Kluyveromyces lactis: one gene and its partner. The protein of the gene in region 1 binds, or shares a complex with, the protein of each later gene. Links are inferred from orthologs where the notes say so. Each region holds a gene or a part of one and is shown in the gene's direction. Other genes may lie near its edges. The genes, in order: MDM20 and NAT3.

What was found.
Region 2: MDM20 (region 1) and NAT3 share a complex: the UniProt entries of both Saccharomyces cerevisiae proteins name them as parts of the N-terminal acetyltransferase B (NatB) complex. The link is inferred for Kluyveromyces lactis from reciprocal best matches to the Saccharomyces cerevisiae genes MDM20 and NAT3.

The regions. Positions count from the first base shown.
Region 1 is NC_006041.1:1,575,288-1,579,679, reverse strand, and holds MDM20 (Mdm20p), read left to right. Parts: upstream 1-1,558; coding exon 1,559-3,871; downstream 3,872-4,392. Other genes in the region: ribosome biogenesis protein BRX1, read right to left, coding at 50-946. UniProt on the Saccharomyces cerevisiae protein: Non-catalytic subunit of the NatB N-terminal acetyltransferase, which catalyzes acetylation of the amino-terminal methionine residues of all proteins beginning with Met-Asp or Met-Glu and of some proteins beginning with Met-Asn or Met-Met.
Region 2 is NC_006038.1:984,411-987,293, forward strand, and holds NAT3 (peptide alpha-N-acetyltransferase complex B subunit NAT3), read left to right. Parts: upstream 1-1,540; coding exon 1,541-2,134; downstream 2,135-2,883. Other genes in the region: KLLA0_B11253g (uncharacterized protein), read left to right, coding at 1-1,134; SCD6 (Scd6p), read right to left, coding at 2,310-2,883. UniProt on the Saccharomyces cerevisiae protein: Catalytic subunit of the NatB N-terminal acetyltransferase, which catalyzes acetylation of the amino-terminal methionine residues of all proteins beginning with Met-Asp or Met-Glu and of some proteins beginning with Met-Asn, Met-Gln or Met-Met.

The DNA.
Region 1 (4,392 bases):
AGTTGACAATATATAAATCATGATTTTTTCTAGAGTTCTGGATTGTACTTTAATCTTTGAACAATGCATCGTTGGATAATGGATCTACAGCCAAGACACTTTCTCTCTTCTTTAGTTTCCTTTCAACAGCAGCTTCGGCTCTGGTCTTAGCTTCCTTGGCAGCCTGTTGTTTAATTTGAGATCTAACGAAGTTTGGCGATACGTATTGTCTGTTTTCGTAGATCTTTGGACCACCAAATGAACCTTCAAGGATCAAAATCGGTGTCATCACGAAACGTGGGCCAATTTCAACTAACGACGTTTCATCTTCTTCTTTATCCTCATATTCAACGTTGTTCCTAGCTTCATGCGAGATCTCATACGTTCTTACCCAGATCTTTTCGTCAACTATACTGAAAGACATGATATGGTCAATGAATGGCTTGGACTTTCTAGCTTGAGGTGGTACACCGAAGTTATGGATAAAAAGTTCTTTAATTAAACGGTAGTGCGGTTCAGAATCAAATCTACCATCAAATGACAATATTGGTCTGGATCCCTTCAAACAGTTGCCAGTGAAGTTTAATTCGTCCATGGTATGTAGGTTCTGCAAATAAAACTTGATTGTTGGTCCATTTGGTGGCTTTGATAGCCATAGGTACAAATCCTGGTGCTTTCTAGCTTCAAAGAATATAATGTTATTACAGTTGTACAATTCCGCAATCTCATTCAATTGTCCTAGATCCTTCTTCGTGTCCAACTTAGGTTCCTTTCTCGAATGTGGTAGAAGACTGTTCAAATCCTGAACCAAATGACGATGTCTATAAGTAACACCTCTGGACGTAATAAGTAAGGTACGTTGCTTATTCATGAACTGTTTCTCATTACTGTCACTGTTAGCCGCATTATTTTTGTTCTTCTTACCGTCTTTATCCTTACGAGACAAAGTCTTGAAAATACTCGACATTATAGAAGGATTTGCTTAGCAGTTCTTGGCTTTTTCTTCCTTCCAACTACTCAAGTGTAATACAATAATCTCAAAGTGTTTAGACCGACGATGTATAGATTGGAAGGATCAGGACAACCTTGTTCAATACCTCTTCTCATCTCATCTCATCTCATCTCATCTCATCTCATCGCCTTTTCTAACTTTTCAAAAATTTTCAATGTACCGAAAAAGAAACTAAGGCTCATCAGTGATGATTTAAAATAGAAAAGGATAGTTTCTCGAAAAGAAAATGTTCGTATCGTCTGCCAACTGGCTTCTATCAGATTCAACGCGGGTGGGGATTGTATGGTGAGGTCTTGCGTTTATATTTCAAGCAGTAAGAGCGCTGATGCCCTTGTTAGGCTGTGCCGTTTACATTTATGGATACACATACAGTTATAGTTTATTATCCGGGTAATCAAGACTGAAAAATTACGATATTGGCTTAATTCAGCATTCAAACTTCTAATGAACAACCTCATACGCACGTCGTTCGTAGAACAACCCGGTATGTCTGGCAGTAACGGTGTTCGTTGCTGTTTGATCTGTTAGATTTGATATCGACCAACACGAAGAGTGGAAACTGTTGATATGAACTCTGAAGATCATCAGCTTTTTCAGCTATTAGATAGGGAACTGTTTAAGAAAGCTTCACAGTTTGTTGCATCATTGCAGAAACGGTACCCATCCGCCACTTATTACAAAGTGTTAGAGCAATATGTCAAGTACAGGCAATCTCCTGCGAAATATAGTTTTGAAAATGGGTTAAAGTTGATCTTGGATGCCAAATCTCCTCCAAGCGATGCGAAATCGCTATCAATGTGCCATCGATTTTTGTTGGAATTAGGTTTTGACACCACCAGTGCATTGGAACCTTATGAAAGAGCAATGATGAAATACGGTAATTCGGAGACATGTTATGATTGGTTCTTGGAGTCATTGAGGGATTTAAATTGGAGACATTTGAGTAAGAGTAGTTTCCAGATGCCACGAGTCAATGAAAAATCGAAATCGAGATTGTTCCAATTCTGGAACAGTATTGCTACTGTAGTATGGTTTCAGTTGGATAAAGATAACATTAACGAAAGGGAATTGGATCTTTTACCTAAGTTGACATATAAATTGACAAGCGATTTGAAACCTTTTGAGAATGAGCAAGAGTTGATCGTTTTCTGTAAAGTTTGTGAATTGTTTGAGGATAAATCACAGGAGATCGTGGACGAGATCCTCAAGTTTTGGAAACATGGTACTTACTTAGACCTTTATTTGAAAAACTTCCTTATGGGCCATTTGGTGAAATTAGACGATTATAAACTCATTTGGAAACATGGAATCTCGTTATTGAATAACCTTGACGATTATGGTATTTTGCAAAAGATTATAGATGCAAGTTACAAACTTGGCAAGTCATTCGATGAGTTATTGGAAGTTTTGGAAATCAAGAATACGAGAAATTACATACTAGCAAGAGTCGCAGCAGCAAAACTTTATGACGATAGGCTAGATCACTACCTGTTTCAGTTCATCGAGAAATATCATGATAAACCTAGTTGTCCAATCGATCTTCATAGCTTGGAATTGAACCCAGTGAAAATCGAGACCATGTTTTCAAAGCTGCCTTCGGGGCTGATACACGACAAAGCTGTTGCTCAATTGTTCGGCAAAGGTGATAATTTGGAATTGTTCTTGAAACATAAGGAATCTTTGTCAACAAAGCCAAAGACAGATTACTCTAACTGCTCGTATTTCATCCTTGAAATCGTGAAAGACCTATGCCAAGACTCCAAAGTGAACTTAGAGAACGTCATTACGTCCATTTCGCTCTTGGAAGGTTACCAAGCAGAAGACCCCTTCAACTATGACACCAGGGTATGGCTTGTTCTCTTATACATGTATCTGGGATTACCAGAGAAAGCCATTGCCCATTTGGAGACGTTGAACATCAAGAATGTTCAAAACGATTTGGTAAACCACTGGCTCTTCACACGTTCCTCGACGTTCCTGCCTAACAAGAACTACAAGTATTGTCAAAGAAGCCTACAGCCACAGGCGATCTATTCATCGTTAAAGAACATGAGTGGGTTCCTAGTTGCCTCATTTGAACGTAGAAGTTGGTGCAAAGTACCTGGAATCGTAGAATTTTACCAGAGGATCTTCCAATCGTTCACCAGGTGGGACGCTATGGTGGAAACGTTGCAAATGTCCAGGCTATTGAACGAGAAGAAACTTGACCAATACAAACCACTCATTGAGAGTTTGAACACGTTCGGCGAAAACAACTTCCACAACGAAAACTGGAGCGATAACAGAGATTTTGACATTTTTGGTACAGACGATGTGACCCGATTCCAAACGGTGCTTGCACCAATCCACGTCGGTACCAAATGGTTGAAGATCAGCATTACAAGAGAGTTGATCTTCTACAGCCTAACTAAAAACGAACGCAATAGGTTCATCGACGATACACTCGTTACCACAAACGATGAAGAGTTGCGCGAATTGATGTCTCAGCACGAACTATGGACCTGGCAACTCATCAAATTACTCTACAACTCCCTGGAAACAGAGGCCATAGACTACAAGGCCATGGCGATGCTAATAGAACAGTGTCCAGAAATCAGCAAGTCTACATGGGAATTGAACCATAGCTATTTAATCACCTTGGCAACGTTAAAGTCACTAGACCAAATGAAACGCATCAAGGACAAAAGCGTCAAGCAACTGATAAAGACCAAGTTAAAAGAGACAAGAGATACTTGCGTCCCGATGTTCAAATCGTACGCTGATATGGTCCAATCGGTTGGTAACGGCAACAAACTACTGGAAACGGTCTCATACTCAAAACTAACCGGTGACATTGCTACTGAAATCACCCAGATGTCAAAATCAATCCGTAACATATAGGGAACTAGATATCCTATACATACTAAACACCTGAGATACCAGGCACGTGTTACGAACGAGACAAAAGGAAAAAGAAAAACGGTTGCACAAGTTTTCCCTAAACGGTGCGCGAGCCTGCGAAGAAAGGTACGAAAAAGGGCATCGAGATATCAATAGGAACTGGGAAGATAAAAGACTTATCATTACTAATGACTTTGCACAGATAAAGTTGGAAGTAAAAATCCCCCAATTCACTCCTGTACTCGGTCTCCCCCCTGTACTGGAAACAAGACACGAAATAAACCGTAAACAGTGTATAATGTCATAGGTAGGTACGTAAATAAGGCATCAGGGTTCTGCACCGTCCGATTTTCCACGGCTGTAAATGACATTCCTTCGGCTGGAGATGTCAAATCTTGGCTCTGCTTAGTTTTAGCAGCAAAAAATCTATTTTTGAAATTGAAAAAAAAAAAACATCAACACAATTTCTGTTATATAAAGGCAAATGACAAAAAACAGTAATGTTATGGCGATCTTTCGTG
Region 2 (2,883 bases), on another chromosome or scaffold:
GCATGGGAAGAAGTGGTATCGACATCAGAGCAGAGATCTCTTGTTATAAAGACGAAATTTTTGACGGATAATCTTCTTGCCTGTGCCACAGTCGATAAAAAATTGATCGTATCAGATGTCGATCATAATAATGTGACGGTAGATTCGATTAGCCAGCCGGGCATCATCAAATATTTTGGTCCTATAACAGAAAAATTTCACTATACGGGTACAATTGACGGTAAGGTTAATATAAGAAACTTGGTTGATGGTGTCAACAGTCAATCGTGGAGTTTTAATTTACCTGGAAGAGCTGTAATGGCCATGGAAATGGTGTTATTAGAAGATGGAAAGATACTCTGTTTCTATTGCTCGTTGAATAACACAATTAATGCCTACGTTTACAATTTGGAAACGGAAGAAACGAGTAAGGTAAGTGAATATAAGCTCCTTTCTGTGTGTACCGCACTACAGTTAGCATTCTCTGAGGACGGATGTCCTGTGTTATTCTTAGCAAGACAAGATTTTACTCAAATTATGATATTCAAATTCAGAAATCATCAAATACATCATGTTGCTAACATTGCTTTAAATACGGCACAATTTAGTACCCATTCTTTCAACGTTTCCGATATGCTTATCACTTCTTTCACACCGTCTTGGCATCCTATAAATTCTCACATCCTACAGATAAATAGCACAACAATCCTTGCTGTCGCTACATCCCATATTCCATATATGCGAATTATTGTCACAAAAGTTCCGAGCTTGGATGATTATACTGTTGAAGATTTGTCTGTCAACTCCTCTTCCATCCCACAACGGAGTGTTCTAGACGAATATATCAGTAACAATGCATCAATTACTGAGACAGTAACCACCACCACAAAGACGCATTACGATTCTATCTTACAGAATATTGCCACTGTAGTACCACAGGATAGTTATTCTCAGCCTATTTTGCAAGTGTCTTATTCACTTGGTGGTTTAGTCGTTGGAGCAGATAACGGATTATATGCCGTGGATTTACGGAAATCTGACACATGGCCCCTAAAATATGGCAAAGAGGATAGAATTAAGTCTTTAGACATTTACAAAGATAGCATTTGCGTTTCGCTTGCCTCAAAGAAGTTGGTGATGTGGAAGCTAAAGTAGTCATATATAGTTCATCATAGTTAATATATTATTATTTCTTTCTACTTTTCAGATCCAAACCTTATTTTCAGTGATAGAACTCAGAAGGAGTTTGTTAATGTATAACTGAAGTATCATAAACATATAAGCTGTAACAGAAAAACGCCACTCCGTCGAGCGGAGGGCGTGTACCTAGTATTGAGCCATTACTAGTGGAACAAATGGCGTTAATCTTCTCGATAGACCTCCTCTTTCGAAGAAAATTGTACTCACGTGACCTGAGTTACACTGTCACATCTTTCAAAGAAACATGTAAAGGTTGATTCAACCAATTTGAACCTTCGCAGCACCTAAAAAAAAAAAGGTTACCGGGAACAAGATAACTCGCTAAGCAACGACTTGCTAGTACTACAGCAACGTTTGAAATATGACATCTGTTCAGCCATTTGAGGCTACTGATTTTTTCAGTTTAAATGCAGTGAATCTAGATACATTTACAGAGAACTTTCCTATTGAGTTTTATCTTGAATATCTAATTCTATGGCCATCGCTAATGTTCAAGAGCATAGAGATGACTTCTCCGCTGCACGGTTCAGAGGAATATGAAATATCGGGATATATGATGGGTAAAACAGAGGGAAAAGGACAAGACTGGCATGCACACATTACTGCTGTGACGATATCACCTAGGTTCAGGAGAATATCGCTTGCATCGATGCTATGTGACACATTAAAAACCATAACAGATAACTCCCCGCATAATGTGAACTTTATTGATTTATTTGTGAAATGCAATAACCAATTGGCGATCAGTTTATATGAAAAATTGGGATATTCTGTCTATAGAAGAGTTGTAGGATATTACAACTCGCAAACTGATCCAATACCTTCCCGGTCAACAAAACCAAATGACCTCAAGGATGCCTTTGACATGAGACATGGGATGGAAAGAGACCAGGGAAAAAGTCTTCGTGCTGATGGACGGAAACATAATTGCTTGCCGATGGACATACGGTTTTAATGCTGTACTTTTAAAATTATAATAGCTTTTAAATTTGTATACTTAGTGTTTCTATGTTACACATGCGTCTTTCCCTGCTTTTACTTCGATAGATTGCTCGATTCATTTCGTGTTAGCTTCAATTTCCCGGTGTGTTAAGAGGTAGTTGAGATAATAGGTATTTAATGGGGTTCTGTTAAGATTCAACATCATGGACTGGTGGCTTGTTGGCAGCATTACGATTTCCACCACGGAAGCCACCGCGGTTACCGCCACGGTTACCTCTATATCCACCACGACCTCTGAAGCCGCCACGACCATTGTTTCTTGGTCTGGCTTGACCGAAAGTATCCAAGTTGACCTGGCGTTCCTCTTCCCATTTGGCAGAAGACGAGTTTTCTACGGCGGAACTTGAAATGGAATCAAAGAATGAGGATTTTTTATCGTAGAAAATCTCATCTGTCTTGGAGGTTTGCTTCTCTTGTTCTATATCTGATTCTCTGGGCTTTTCAGCATTCTGGAATTTGGCGTTGTTACTTTCGAAATCAAATTCAGAATCTGGAACAGCAGAAGGAGCCACCGCAGCCACAGGAGCAGCAGGAGCCGCAGACTTCTGCTGTTGCTGGTTAGGAACTTTCTTTTCGGTAACAGGCTGTTGGCGGGTCTGCTGTCTTTGCTGCTGCTGTTTTTGCTGGTGTTGTTGGGGAACTTGCTGCTGATCCTTGTCTGGAGCGTACACACCATACCCGGCCACCGCAGCAGGAACGTTG